3 linked regions of the Arabidopsis thaliana genome follow. Each later gene encodes a partner of the first gene's protein in a complex. Each region holds a gene or a part of one and is shown on either strand. Other genes may lie near its edges.

Region 1 (6,666 bases):
TATCACTAATCTACATTATTGATGTGATATGGAACTTGTTACATTATCAAATTTTAATTATTTTAAAATTCTTTCATTTTTTTTAACTTCAAATTATTGTTATATATATTTTAATAAATTATAAATTAATGTGTTATCAGGCATAACTTCAAGTTCGTGTAACATGAGATGTGTCTTGTGAAAGCATGACATGTAACTTTCGTTGTAAAATAAAATAAAAAACAAATGAGCTCAGATATGAGGCTATATTATCCGATTCATCGGAGAATTGCTAAGGACCCAACCTTAGCTTAAAGCAAATTTCATCAACGCTCAAATGCACCAGCCGGGAATTGAACCCGGGTCTGTACCGTGGCAGGGTACTATTCTACCACTAGACCACTGGTGCTACTTGCCTACTATCTTACTTTTCTAATATAAATCCAGTATTTCACGTTTAGTGAGAGCAATTGCACATGTTCCAGCATTGCATTTAGAAACTGATGTGGTTTGGTCTTTTAGTTTTTAAAAGAACAATAATATAAACTGATGTGGTTTGGTTAGTGTTCAATGAAACCAAAAGCTACTATTACCAACACACACCTTAATTGATTGTGCCTGGACAAGTACTATTGCAGTCAGATTCTAGACAAATTTCTCCATTTAGTAGAGAGAGAACTAAACATGTAAAAAACTTAAAAATAAAAAAGAACCAAACTTGTTGCTAAGAGATCCAAACTAAAAGCTTAAGAAGAAGACGATAGATAGCTCAGTCTTCGTAGTCGCCTTGGGCATACTTGTCTTCGGGGTAATACACAGCCACTACTTGGTTTCCTCCAAATTTTCTTCCATTCATCCCCGATCTGGCCTTTGATGAGCCATCCACATCCGCATACTCTAAGAAAACCTGCATTAGTATTACCATTAGAGTATGCAATTTATATATGAATTTGGTAGACATTTGTATCTGAGGACTGAAATCTAACCTTCCCAACTCCTGGTGTTGGGTCATGATCTGGATTAGGCCTCGGAATCACAACATTCACTAAGTTACCTACACACACAACAATGATTTATCAAAGTTCATTTTAGACCATGAGCCTCAGTAATGTGCTATTGGTATAATGTCAGAACAGACAATAAGAAAATCTAATTGCTTACCGAATTTTCCACCTTCTTGTCGCATGTCCTCCATTATCTCTGCATATTCTTCATCGTCTCTAAGATCATCAGCTGTAACCACTTGAGTCAAACAGACAATCTTGGTGGGAGTACCTCCTGGTTGGAACATAAGCCTCTGCAACAAAGTTTGAGACAGATTTAGCATTACTGATCATTTAGATAGAGTGAATCAGAATCCTTTACCTGCAAAGCAATCTGTTGTTGGGCATAAAGTAAGACTTCTTCTTGCTCGGGTTTAGGTTGAATTGCACCCTGGATTGCACGCCTAACTGTAAGTGTCTTATCACCCATCTTAATCCCGTTTAGAGCGGCACATGCAATATCTGTTACTGACGGATCTTGGTAAACACAGAATGCATATCCCTTCGAATTTCCAGTCTCCCTGTCTTTGACCAAGTTGAAACCTCTTAGGGGCCCAAAAGACTCCAAGAGCTCCCTGATCTGTACCTCTGTGAAGTAATAGGGAAGTCCGCCCACAAAAATGCGGTCGGGACCCTCAAGCCCACCAGTAGACCCTGAAGACAATCCAACAGCCCCTAAGTTGAGGTTGGGATTAGGCTGGCTCGGACCAAGAGTTGCAGCAAGAGACGGGTTATAGTCAGTTGGCCTCCTCACCTTTACAGGAACTCCCTAGAGATGAAAAAAGCTATGATTTCAGATAGGTTTCAATACTCATAATACAGATTGTAACTAATAAACACCAAACATCTAAAGTGTAGAAGAGCTAATAAATCACCTCTAATATAATGCCGTCTAATGCCATTGCGTTACTAGCCTCCTCAACAGATCTCATCTCTACAAAAGCAAACTTCTTTTCGTGGTTTATATAAACATTGACCACCGCATCACCTATGAATTAATAATCCAAAAAAAGGATGAGATTTCGTATAGACTTGCGGCCAATATGACAAAAATATAATGAACTTTTCAATACCTGGCCCAGCAGTGTTTCCCCCAATGGCCGACATCACTTGGCTAAAGAACGTTGACACCGACTAGGACATGAAAACCCATTCTCAGTAGGCATACAATGGATATTGAAATGTGGTTTAAATAGACAATAATAAACAAAAAGTCACAAAACCTTAAACAAAACAAAAGTAACAAACCTGTTCATTAGCAGTTGGTGGAAGGCCACCAACATAGACTCGCCGAGCATGCCTAGTTGCCTGCGACTACATATTTTAGGAAGGGAATCGTGACAAAAGGTGAAGAACCTAAGAATAAGATAGATTGATAGATCGTACCTGTTGAGTCATTGCCTGAACTGGCAGTACAGGAAGCGCACCTAGTTGCTATGTGAGAAAAAAGATTGAGAAGTTCTGAGCATGTTCGCATAAAACAAAAGAAAAGAGGAACATAAGAGACACAAAAATACAAATTTTTATACCTGACCAGGGACCATTGGAAACATGTTTGAGAACATCCCTGGAATAGTAGCAGTAGTTGGCACACTAGGAACCTGGCCTGCTAGGTAAAGTAGTATGCGTCATAAAAATGTTTGTTAGATACATTATTATGTTTCCCGGAGGAGCAGACCTACCAACAAGTACAAAGCTACAGATAACACCTTGCTACTTACAAAACCCACAAGTAGAAAGTATACCAACAACTTATGAATATTAAAATGAAAAGTTGTGATGTAATATTCGTTTTAGTTGTCAGAGATTGTAAGGCTCGAAAACAGGCATATAGTTGCCAGTCGAAGATGAAAAATACCCATGACAACCGTTGCACTGATTCCTCCTTGTACAATTAAAGCTAGAGAGGTCGGCTCATTGTCAGCACAGTGGGGCAACTAACCCAACATAGCCTTCTTACTACAAAAAGACAAGACACAGAAACAAACAAACACCACCAAAAAAACACAAACAAAAAATTTCTCAGTTCCAGAACCACCAGTCAAACAAAAATAACAAGACATCCTATGAAGAAAGCAAGACTTCAAAGTCCTCTTTGTTCACGAGTAAACAATAAAATTGCAGCTTACCAAAGTCACACCGTGTAATTGACTATGATCTTTCCAAACTACGTAAAATCAAAAACAACAAGCAGTTAAGAAATATAATAACCCTGAGTAGATGATGAAGCAAATACCTGCTGCAGCAACAGCAGTAGCAGCTAACATATCAGGAGGCGCCATATCAAATCCACTTCTCCTCTTGCTGAAAGAGCAAAATATAATTGGTTAGACATCAGTAGAGACGAGTTCGAAAAAATAATGCCAAGTAAACGTATGAAACACACATAAACATCAATGACCCAGATCAGACTAAAATATTGGTAATCATATAAGGAGGGACCGTTCAACCCAGTAGAAGACCATGATAATCATATTGTGTCAACAAAACAAAGACATCAAATACTAAACAATAATGGTTTTATTTGATTTGACATCAATATCATAACACATTGCAATGTGGCCACGGAAAGAACTAGTTAGAAAAGATAAAAATAGCAGGAGAGCCCAGGTACCTCTTTGACCTTGATCGCGACCGTGAGCGTGATCTATGTTCAGACTTATGTCTATGTTCTGACCTTGACCTACGTTCAGAGCGGCTCCTTGACCGAGAGCGTGACCGTCGCCTGTGTCTCACCTCTCTGTCTCGATCGCGAGACCTCCTCCTGTCGAGAAATGACTACACCTTCAATTTTAAGAATAAAACAATCTAAAACTACAAAAACAATTGCAACACACTAATGAGTACCTATCACGGTCTCGACTTCTGCGATGATGATCATCATCCAAATCATCTCTTTTCTCACTACGTTCTCTGCTACGGTCCCTATGACGATCTCTATGATGACGGTCTCGTTGCCTATCCTTACTTCTCTCCCTATCCCTATCTCTATCTCTGCTTTTCTCCCTATCTCTGTCTCTGCTCTTCTCCCTATCACGATCCTTCTCACGATCACGATCTTTGTTTCCGTCTTTATCACGTCCATTTTCATTGTCTTTCTCACTGATTTTCGAAGAATCCTTTTTAAGATCATGAGATTCCTGCAGGAAACAAATGTCAAAAGGCTTCTCTCATATACTATCCCCAGATTTCTAAAGAGAACATATGAACTTAACATGATAATATATACTCTAAATCCAGTGAATCCTTCAAATCAAACTATCAAAAACATAAATTCAACAAGCAGAATCCGAGAATTGTACCAAATTACAATACAAGTGGAGAACAAATTATGATTACCAGTCTAATTCACGAGAGAAACCTAAAAGCTACAGAATCGAACGCAAGATATGTAAAGAAGAAAGTGTAACATACTCGAGACTTGGAGTCTTCATGAAAAGGCGAGCTCTCTAGAGATATGTAGTTCTCGTTGTGGTTTTCGGTGGAGATAGCGACACCATCTCCGTTGCCTTCGTAACTCATCATCCACTTGTGATCTCTTCTCCGATTGGTACTTATCGTTGAGTCTGATTGTGTATGGAAGAAAACCCTAGGGATTCTAATGGAGGATGAATTAAAAATTATGAAGATTCTTCGAGGAAGATGAAGTGATATATGGGTATTATTGTAAATTGAACAGTATTTTTTGGTGTTACACCAAAACCGTAAATGGGCTTGTCTAGTCCAAATTTGAAAACTAGGGTCTCATTATACTTAATGGGCTTATCAGCTTTATCGGCTTATAGTCTAAATTTTTAGTTTCTATCACCAAAAAAAAAAAAAAACTAAATATTTTAAAAATTGATCATTCTAATATTGTTTTACATTATTATTTTTTGTGTAATTAAGGGTTGATTATTATTAGATGTCTTTGTTTATGACTTTTTAAAAGTGTGTTTTATAAGTCTTTATCTGATAGTTTAAAGTCACATATGTTTCTAGGCGTAACTAGCAATTGAAGATGAAAGACCACGTTAAAACATCACAAATATCTCCGGCGTTTAGAGGTTTCTCTCACCATGGATCAAATTCAATTGTTGACACAAAATATTACAAAAAAAGAAGAAGTTTAAATTAGCTTTCATTTGACGGTGGTTTGAAGTTAAACGTACTGATGGATTGGAAAAACATACGATTCTAGTGAAAACAAGTCAACCTAACAACATATATTGCAGAGACTGGTCCACACTCGATCCCTTCATGGACCGTAGCATTCACGGCCAATCAATCTGTTCATTGAGTTTTGACTAGTGTCAATAATTCATAGGATTTTGTTTATATGAAATAACTTTGATATGAGTCAATAATTCATACGAATTTGTCTTTTTCTGTGCTTCTTGAAGAATCCTTTTCAAGATCATGAGATCCCTGTTTTAAAACGGAGATGTCCAAGGCTTGCTTCGTCATAAGTACGACGAAAAGTAAAATGCAATTATATCTTCGAACATCTCTAGATCCTATTATTAAAACACTTAGGGTTACTAGGAATAGATTCATGTGGAGTGTGAATTATGAAGATAGATATTTAGGAGCCCATTAATCGTTTAAAATTATGGCCTCATTATGATTCATTGGCTTAATAGTCTTATTTTTTATTTTATTGTATCCCAAATATATACGTTTGGACACAACCAGTTTTACGGTAGAAAGATTCGAAACATCCCCATATTTTTATAATTTGACTACCATAATATTGTAGAAAGAAAGCATAGCTATTAGAGACTAGTACTTACCAGTTTTTTTTGGGTTATTTTATTTTTAGTTCTAAAACTAAGATAGTTACAAAAACAGATGATTCTAAATATTATTATGTAAATTCTAAATTGATTAGCATTAATTTTAGTACAAAACCTAATAAGCATCATTACAATAATGAAAGACTGCAAGACCATTGGATTGCTAACTTATATATATATATATATATATATATATATATATATATATTGGGTCTTATTAATAATATAAAAATTTACAAGTTTTTTACCTGGTAGTTATAATGGTAAGATGGTACATAATGATGTATAAAAAAGAAAAAGAAAAATAGTACAGAAAAACTGTAAAAAAACAGTGTAACAATTTTGATATTTGATTGATAAATTTATAAATTGTAGAAATTGTAGTGCTTTGATTTTGTTCACCAATCAAAGCCATTGTTTGTTCAGTTTGTCAAACAGTCGACAATAGAAACAGTCATAAAATGGTGTTCTGATGTTGGGCCCAAAATTTTCTTTTTAATATTACCCTTAATTTTAATATCCTTTTCAATTGGATTTCTCTTTTGGTTTCCTTAAGGCAAAATTTTTGGTTGACTAGAGAAATATAGAAGAAAATAGAGAATGGGGGCAGAGATGCATGAATGATGAAAGTGATGAAAAAGGACGAGAGGGAGAAAAAGAGAGATAGATGATAGGTGATGTGACATTGACAAGTGATGGAAACTATTTAAAAAATAAATTTGGTGAATTTGAAGAGGTAGAGACAACGTAAAAGTTTTATATTCTCCTAAACAGTTCTATTTTGTGTTTCGTTTATATTTATACTCCTATTTCTTTTCTTTTACTTTTTGTTAAAATATATTGGTATATCTTATAATTGCACAAATATA
Region 2 (4,559 bases), about 14 Mb from region 1:
GTGAACAGTCCAAGATGCAGAGACTATTGTGGTGGTGGTGAAGAGGTCTATGAGGCCGTACGGGAACAAGTAGAGTAGAAATGTCTGGATAAGCAATGGAATCAGATTCTCCAAGACGGAAGCATCTTGAGGAACGTAGTAGTAATCCCAATTAGTGAGTTGTCGAACGAGGTATTGAGAAGCGAGTGAGACAGTGGTTTGGAGTGAAAGCTCGAAGAAGATCAAGAAACAAAAGAGGGGGAGAGAGCAAAGGAAGAGGAAGAGAACAAGATTGATGTTACCACATAGAAGCTTTGTTGCTCGTTTGAGTATGTTGATGAAACCTAGATCCTCCTCAATCTTCATCTTCTTTCACAGTTCTCTTCTTCTCTACAAAGAAAAAGGGAGAGTACAGATCTACTACAGTTTTTTATTCGTAAATATGGAGTCGTTTCTTCATTGACGTTGACGTAAGAATTGGTATACCAACAAATCTGAACCAAATTGCCTCAAAACCAAATTTAGAAAAGTATTAAAATGAAAACATGTGGCGGCCGAAGAAGAACAGATTAAAAGTCGAGATTAATTGGGAAAAGAAAAGCATAAGTGGGAAACCAAATCATGAACACAAAAGACTAAGCTAACACGTTTTTCACAAGCAATATAAAAAAGAAGCATCCACAAATGGGTTTAATTTAATGTAAGTGTGTGATCCACCAACAGATGTGTAACAAAGTTGACCGAAAAACAAAAGTGAGTAGAGAAACCAAGTGGTGATATAGCAGCCGAGAGCTAGGAAGAGGACGGGGTGAAGAAACAGATTCGTCTTTCTCAATAGAAGCTTGGTTGCAGACTTGGGGTAGGAGTGGTGAGTAAAGAGCAGGGCAATCTAAAAGTCACACAATGTAACAAGCAAATTCTAGCTGATGTTGGTCGAGTTGAGGATGCAGATTCATGATAAAACTAAGTTGTGGGGAGAGTAAGATGCAGCTGTGCTGCCAAGAGATCCCCGATAAATCATACCTCACAAGGGAAAAAGAGTGGAAACAGTTGAGCTTTTTAGATATGTCTATATAATAAGGAAAGTGCATTCAACAAGAGACAAAACATTTATGGATACGAAAGAACGACCTCAAGTGTAGGGGTTCAAGGACGCTGTGTGAAGACAGCAGGCCAGTGCGTGTTATAGAGAATAAGTCAAGACGGCTGTTGGAAAACAGCATGAAGGAGAACTCACCAAATCCAATTGTCTAATAAAACTCGAACATACCATGACATGTCCATGCTCAACAACCAAACCTAGAAGAGCTAATACCATAATAGCAGATATAAAGATCTATCCTAAAAGGCGCCACAGAGTAGATATAGCATCATAGCTTAGTAATAGCTTCTTTCTCTTCAGGGTCCAGTTTCACACCCTGCAGAAACGCAAACGAATATATACCTTATATCAAAATACTTCAAATGTTATTCACATCTACATAGACAATGCTGAAGTTGAGTCATGCAGATTGAGAAAGTAAACCTAAATCCAAGAAGAGAAAAGAACTTTTACCCATTGGCATATGGCGAACGTCGACCATAGGGCGAGTCTCTGCGGCGAGGAGAATCACGGCGTGAACCACGATAAGGAGGGGATCTGCTGTAGCTCCTCCCACGGCGAGGTGGAGTAACACTGCGACGCCTTGGAGGAGATCTTCTTCCACGCGGGCTTATACTCCTGAACAAAATCAATTCCACAGGAACAAAAATGTATGTCACAAAGCGATTATAACATCAAGAAAGGTACTATCAACATTAACAACTCAGCCCCTATACATGATTACAAAGTGCAATTTCAATGGATATGTTAACACAATGGACATACTAATGACATACTATCTCATCTAAGCAGCTCAATAAGAATGTTTCCGTTGGATCGTTACCTGCGAGCATACCCATAATCTGGACTCCTACGACGACGGGGACTAGGGCTTCTACGCCTCACAGAGCCTCGACCACGGCGACACTCGCGAGCAAAATGTCCAAGCTCACCACACTCATAGCACTTGGAATCCTCAATACCTCCACGACGACCACCACCACCTCCACGACCTCCTTTATCTTTATGAGAAAGCTCCACACGCCACCCATTCTTTCCTGAAGTATACGCCACAAGAGTAAAACTTTTCAATGACCAAACAATAATACAAACATTACATGGTAACTAAGAGGTCTAATGAGAAGAACACTAACGATCCAATGCGCTGATTGCATCCAAAGCATCTCTTTCGTCATCGAACTCGAGGAATGCGTAGCCAGGAGGTCTACGAGCTACCCAGACACTGCGATTTTTAAGATTCAGAGTCATAATTCGTATGGCTTGAAACAAAATTGAGTACAGAGATAGGACTTACTTGCGAAGAACACCGAAGGCCTTGAATTCGTCTTCGAGTTCTCTTTCGGTGACGCGTGGGTCCAAATTCCCGACATAAACCCTCGTCATGTTGCAAAGATCAGTTGAATCTGAACGAAAGAGAATCGAATTTTGTGAAGAAATATGGATATCGATAATAGTTACAGCGAGTAGTTAACAAGGTACCTGAGATTCTTGGTCCTGAGCAGCGAAGCGGGATGTTTTAGGGTTCAGACTCAGACTACGGCGAGGAAAGAGAGTAACCAAGTTATTTCATTATTATATGAAAACTGAAAAGTAAAAAAAAATTAACATCATATATTATTTGGTCATTTATTAGTTATTTCATGGTCCCTTATTTTTCGGTAATCCATATATTCATAAACAAAGTTTTAGCGACCAAAATGTAAGACTAGTCTCCCATAGTCGATTAGTTAACGTAAAAAGAGAATTGAGGTGAAAGCGGATTTTGAAACTATGCAAAACATCTTTGACAACAAAAGTTATGCAAACATGTTTCTAGAGTTTGATGTCTAATTACTGTAACTTGACGTGATTCTCAGTCTGAAAAAAACTAATGGGCCTAAAACCCATAACCTTTTGGTTAAAATTTTAAAAATATGAGCAAGTTTCAGTTGCTTAATGGCCCATATGAGTTGGTTTTGGTTTTCAACTTTTGCATCAGTACTTGTATCTTCTTAAATTTTCAAAATATAGTAGGCTGATTAAATCTAAGTTTGGAGTTGGCAAGTGTAACAATTGTTAGTTTTACATATACCTTACCAATTTACACATGATTGGGCACCTAATTCATGTGAACAAGTCTCTAAACGATTGCACACACACAAAAAAAAAAGAGTCTCATTGTTTAAAATTGCGTCGACGTAAATAGAAAAGGTTTCATCATCCCACCAAAAACAAAAAGACACTTATCCATTGGGGAAAACATTCTGAACCAAGATAAGTCATGCTGGGTCCCACTTACATCGACTCCTCTAAGACTGTGTCTTTGACACGTGTTTAGTTATGATTCGTTTATTTGCAGCCACTGTGTAGACCCCACTTACCTCCTTTTACAAAATCGACATTCAATTTACACGTGTCGCTATTCCCTGGCTTGTCCCTTAAGCTGGACATGGGAGGAATAAGATACTCTTTAATTTTTGGATGGCTATGGCTAAATAGATGGCTCAGAAGAAATAAGATGGCCATAACTTCATTCGTTATCCAAAGCTAACATTAATTGGTTAGTATCAAAATTTCTAAAATTGTGAAATATTTATAGAATATTAGTATTTAAAATTATATCTAATTGTATAAAAATTTTGGGGAGTGATTATTAGTGTCATGTTACTTATTGTAACTATCGTTGTGCATATCAATAAAAATATACGGATTTCAATTTTAAACCTCACATTTACAGATATTTAGTTAGATATTTAAAAGGGATATCTGCAAAATGGACAATATAGATATTCGATTTTTTTTATCGTAGTTAACAAATGCATGATATCATGTATCATATTTACACATACTATTCTTTTTTTTTTAAGTCTAGTAAAACGGATAACGGGTTGAAGAAGGATAAAAACATTTGTATCCAGCCAAGCCCTAAATTGGTATTGTCAAGTGGAAGAGCAAGAAAAGTAAAGAAGAAGAAAGTGTCAATCTGATTCGGATCCAATTACCCAATCCTCGTTGGCTTCCTAAACAACGTGAAAACAAAACACGGCTTATATATGTCAACGTTATTTACATTGACACTTGGAACCATTAACACCAAATGGGGATAATATCGTAAAATAACACATGGTTAGTACTTTAGTGACAATCCTAATGCTGCTTTGTCCCTTGGGGGGTTTGAGAGGCCACCCTGACCTACGTGGTGCCCTTTTAATATCAATACATTCCCGATAATGTGTGCTTACATGTTTTAATTATCTTAGTTTAGTCATATAATAATGACTTCGCTTTTAACTATATTATATTTACTATATGTAATATGTACATGCATGTTGCATTCCCAATGATGTTTGTTCCATTTTTATGTCTTTATCTAAGACTTTTAGTAAGACAAGATAACTCTAATGATCTTTCTTTTTTGTTAAAGTAAGAATATATATCGATTCAATTCATCTTATCAATATGGATATAGTCTTAGATCGTGTGTAGAAGTTTTGTTTTT
Region 3 (4,529 bases), on another chromosome or scaffold:
GGTTAGCAAATCATCAAACAATCCGGGAAGAGAGTTTGAAGTCGAGAGATCTATTGAAGGCTCGTTCGATCCACCAAACTCACTAGGCTTAAGAGTTGCTGGACGAGAAGCCTCAACCATGACAATGACCCCGTGGAAATTAGAGCAATCTGTGCTCGGCTACACAGCTAATCTAAACTGGATCTTGTATGATAGCAGCGTTGGAGGAAGAGAGGTTTTTTCGACAAAGCCGTCACGGTTTTCAATAATGAGCCCAAGGTCTTGGTTTAAGGATAGGTATGCAAGAGCGTATCGGTCATTTACGAGGAGAGGAGGTGTGATATTTGCAGGGGACGAGTATGGAGAGAGTGTGGTGTGGAAGATTGGAAAAGGAGCATTGGGGGGAACAATGGAGTGGGAGATTAAAGGGTTTATTTGGTTGACTTACTGGCCAAATAAGTACAAGACTTTTTACCATGAGACTCGTAGATTGGAGTTTACACAGCTTCTTAATCTCACCATTGCTTAACTTTAAACAAAAACATGTTATTACTTCTTTGTGATCTCAACTTTACATTGGTAAAGGAAGAGACTTCAATTGTCAGTTAGTTATTTGGTAATTTATCTTTGCATTAGGTACTTTTGATAAGAATCTTAAACAGAAGATAGACAAGAGATAAGTGAAACTCAACTGAACTTTGATTTCTCAACTTAAGATTGAAAACTCAACGAACCAGCCCTTCTAAGCATTAGCGACACAAGGATGATACTAGTTAAAGCAGATAGCTGTGACCAGCATCGATCATCTACGGTTTCATAAACAGCATCGATCATCTACAGTTTCATAAACAGCCATCAACAGCTACAATCTCAACATGGTTGTGCCATCTTCCCAGTCAATTCTTTTCTCGAACCAGACTAGAAAAATCCAAGACAAGCCAGGGGAATGGAGTTAGAATGCTATGAATTCCAAACCAGAGAAGATTCAAATAAAACAGAGACTAAAAAGGCTGTTCAAACAGTAATAATTCTTGCACATGAACACTAAACCAGAACGATAACAGGAAACAAAGATACAGTCAGTACTCAGTAGTTTGAGGGCACCTACGGAAAGCAAGTAATACTACAGAGGGTAGACGTTCCAGTGCTTAATGATGAAACATCATCAGTACAAGCAAACGTGTTTTTCATCATACACCGTATCACTTTCACAAGTGGCTGCAGTCATTCCTGCAAACAAAATGTAAACAAGGACAATTCAGACATCAAGTTTCATTAGTGATACACATCTGAAACACAGTGTTTTTGTAACCCACCGCAGCATAAGGAGATTGACTTCGAGAAGCAGCATCAACTTTGCGCAGAGGAGCAGGGCTACCAGGAGATGGGGACCTCTCATTGCTACGCCTTTCAGGAGACATCTCCTTAGAAGGAGAGGCCTTTTGCAAAGCAGGGCTTCTTGGGCTGAGGCTGCGACGAGGAGATGGAGACCTCTCATTGCTACGCTTATCAGGAGAAACTTCTCTAGCAGGAGAGGTTTTCTGTGGGGAGGAACTTCTAGGGCTGCGGCGAGCAGGAGATGCACTGCATGTCAAAAAGTTGAAATCAGGATACACAGTATTGTGGAGCAACAACATGAAAAAAAGAGGTTCACAACGGAAGAAACCTCAAGGAACGACTGTGACTGCGGCTCTCATTATCATAACGGCCTCTGACTCTGCGTTTTTCATCTGGGCTGGCACTACGAGACCTAGTGCGACGACGATGATCTCTATCCTTCTCCTCATGCCTTTCACGCCTGTCATAGCTTCTGCTCCTGCTCCGCTTCCGGTAGTCTTTTTCCCTATAGTCATCTCGGGACCTACAAGTTATGTAACTCGGATGAGAGAATTATTCAGACAAATACTGTTCTTAGGCAGAGATGGAGTTCTTTCATAAATCAAGTAACAAAAGCTAGTTGACTAATAACATAACCATTATTAACTCCCACTAGTTCACCTAATCATCATAAGAATGCAGATTAAAGAAGAAACTCACCTCCTACGAGGACTGCGGCTTCTTCTGGGACTACGACGTCTAGGCGGGCTACGGCTCCTCCTAGGACTACGACTCCGCCTAGGACTACGGCTTCTAGATCTTCGTGACTTCGGCGGTGGTTCCACAACTCTTCCTTTGGAACTGTCATGAATCATGATAATAACAAACGAATCAAAATACAATTACAGATGCAGCTTTTTACGTGATAGAAGTTCCAATTGCACAAATAACGGAAACGGTCTAAAGAGGAAACATTCATAGTGAGCTCCCGAATATCAAGAGTAAACTTGAACAATCATTGGCAAAGAAAGAAGCTTACATTTTTTCAGCATTTGGCCCATATTTCGCAAACTGAACAGTTATTTCTCTGCCATCAACAACTCTTCCTGAAACAGAGAAAGAAGCTTCATGTTGAATCCAGGCACCAAAAGCACACAACAAAACCAAGAACACAAGAGAGATAAGAAGATCTGGATAATTATACCATCAAGCCTTTCCACTGCTTTGTGAGCTTCGTCTTTATACTTATACCGAACAAACGCAAAACCACGCGAATCACCAGTCCTATAAATTGACACAAGACTCAATGACAGAAATCAAGAAACCCTAATTCCTCAGTCGGAGAAGAAGAAGAAATTGGACCTTCGATCTCTGGGAATAAACACATCAACGACCTTTCCATACTTTGCGAATAGAGGATAGAGATCATCAGCAGTCGTACCTACACATAACAACAAAACCTAATCTCTTAGAAACCCCCAGTTCACGAAAATTGATTAGAGGTTGAGAAACAGAAATAGGGACTTGAGAGATTACGGAAGGTGATGTTAAGGACGAGAAGTGAGTAGGTGTCGCTGATATCCGGTGGACCTGACCTTCCGAAGTGCGACATGGTTTTCCCGCCGGCGGAGAAATTGGGAGCGCGAGAGAGAGACGAAGTGAAATTAGGTTAAAGCTTTTCTGAAACAATGGAATCTACTAGATACGGGGACATTTTTTTTAAAGCTTGACGTTGTTGTTAATTACATTTGTACCCCTTGACGAAGACACAAAAAAAAGAAGATAATCGAACCGGATGATACCGAGTTTGGTTCGTATCGGTTCAGCAGCGATTGGGACGGTTGAGACGCAATTTTATTATAGTCTGAAACATTTTTACCAAAACAATTCTGCAATTTACAAACACCGGTACATCTCTAACACCTTTAAAACATATTTTAGCACATTCAAACAAATTCATATCCAAAATCATTAAAAAAAACAAACAGAAAAACTCCAAGTAGGATACTCTTTTGAAATTGGTTTAGTGATAACCAATCGGAGCTGCTGCTTCTCGCAACTCTTTTCCTTGATTGCGAATGTCCTGCAAATAACTCACAATATTAACAATTCAAAAACACCACACAACATAACAAATCCACAGATTTTTAAAATTCATTGATTTATATTAAAAACTATGAACTTGTATGTATCCACACACCAAATGTCGTTGATTCTACTACTTATATCATTTGTTATTTTAATATCACCGAAATGGACCCGAAGAAATGTATGAAACTCGGGAGTTTTGGAAAAAAAATAAAAGGGTTGTTGTTTTAGACTCACAGAAGCAAAATGGTTGACATCTCGATGATGAGCTTCATCAGCACGAATCACCGTTACAACATCTTTCAACGTAGCATCTTTAGGCAATCTCCAATAATCAATAGCAATCGCGGGCGCGGCAACATTCTCGATCTTCCCATTGTCGATATCTTTAAGAAACTCGGTGTAAGAATGTATAGCTTCTTCCTCTAAATATCCAACGACCCTATGAGCTAACCGCGGGGAAATCACGTAACAAACGAAAAAAGAGTTGAAGAATATTCCTTGAACAAGCATCACTAGAAGACGCTCGTACCATTTGGGTTTGACTAACTCCATCATCGTCATTAGATGCATCCTCTCGTTCTCTGCTTCTTCGAGTAATGCTTTGATCCAACCGCCGCTATGTTCGAATTTTCGGATTGATTTTAGGTGAAGAAGCATTCCTCCAACCATTCCTGGTACTGCAGCTACTGTCTCTAGCATCATCGCTCTGCATCCATATCGTCTCTGCTGACCAAACATATATTTAACATTAAGGAACAAAAAATGTAAAACATTAGCATGTGAAGTGAAACAGTGAATCCATACGTATGTATATATGTGAATCATGGTAGGATAATATGTGCATACAAAATTACAAACCAAACCAAACCGAATCAGCTAAATAAACCAATGAACATATTAAACGAATCAACGTTTCATTTTAAAATTTGAAATTACAGTCATGCCTGAAAAAATATATCGGTGGGAATACGGAGGAGCTTGACAATCCGGTAAGCGACTTTGTCGGCGATATTCTTCGGAACGTGGTGCTTCTTCAAATCTATCGACAGATTTGCTTGATAAGTCTCCCATGGCTGTTCAAAATATACTTAAGTCATATATCTACTACATATAAAAGAGTGCTTAATTTGTCTACGAACTTT

The links. Proteins that work in one complex are often made in the same cells at the same time.
Region 2: AT1G60900 (region 1) and RSZ21 share a complex: the UniProt entries of both Arabidopsis thaliana proteins name them as parts of the spliceosome.
Region 3: AT1G60900 (region 1) and SC35 share a complex: the UniProt entries of both Arabidopsis thaliana proteins name them as parts of the spliceosome.

What each region holds. Positions count from the first base shown.
Region 1 is NC_003070.9:22,421,889-22,428,554, reverse strand, and holds AT1G60900 (U2 snRNP auxilliary factor, large subunit, splicing factor), read right to left. Parts: upstream 4,662-6,666; 5' UTR 4,548-4,661; coding exon 4,437-4,547; intron 4,163-4,436; coding exon 3,870-4,162; intron 3,787-3,869; coding exon 3,637-3,786; intron 3,327-3,636; coding exon 3,259-3,326; intron 2,629-3,258; coding exon 2,552-2,628; intron 2,457-2,551; coding exon 2,409-2,456; intron 2,331-2,408; coding exon 2,271-2,330; intron 2,157-2,270; coding exon 2,096-2,156; intron 2,011-2,095; coding exon 1,898-2,010; intron 1,792-1,897; coding exon 1,345-1,791; intron 1,277-1,344; coding exon 1,141-1,276; intron 1,034-1,140; coding exon 966-1,033; intron 887-965; coding exon 749-886; 3' UTR 502-748; downstream 1-501. UniProt on the Arabidopsis thaliana protein: Necessary for the splicing of pre-mRNA.
Region 2 is NC_003070.9:8,426,701-8,431,259, forward strand, and holds RSZ21 (RS-containing zinc finger protein 21), read right to left. Parts: upstream 2,786-4,559; 5' UTR 2,561-2,785; intron 2,542-2,560; exon of another isoform or gene 2,485-2,541; 5' UTR 2,465-2,484; coding exon 2,376-2,464; intron 2,304-2,375; coding exon 2,215-2,303; intron 2,119-2,214; coding exon 1,905-2,118; intron 1,700-1,904; coding exon 1,535-1,699; intron 1,398-1,534; coding exon 1,391-1,397; 3' UTR 557-1,390; downstream 1-556. Other genes in the region: AT1G23850 (uncharacterized protein), read right to left, coding at 1-345. UniProt on the Arabidopsis thaliana protein: Probably involved in intron recognition and spliceosome assembly.
Region 3 is NC_003076.8:25,680,646-25,685,174, forward strand, and holds SC35 (serine/arginine-rich splicing factor-like protein, putative), read right to left. Parts: upstream 2,997-4,529; 5' UTR 2,909-2,996; coding exon 2,833-2,908; intron 2,738-2,832; coding exon 2,659-2,737; intron 2,581-2,658; coding exon 2,501-2,580; intron 2,403-2,500; coding exon 2,336-2,402; intron 2,158-2,335; coding exon 2,017-2,157; intron 1,841-2,016; coding exon 1,646-1,840; intron 1,564-1,645; coding exon 1,296-1,563; intron 1,210-1,295; coding exon 1,204-1,209; 3' UTR 1,088-1,203; exon of another isoform or gene 898-1,087; 3' UTR 557-897; downstream 1-556. Other genes in the region: AT5G64190 (neuronal PAS domain protein), read left to right, coding at 1-508; AOX2 (alternative oxidase 2), read right to left, coding at 3,320-3,379, 3,622-4,110, 4,332-4,460. UniProt on the Arabidopsis thaliana protein: Probably involved in intron recognition and spliceosome assembly, but not involved in alternative splicing regulation of the SCL33 intron.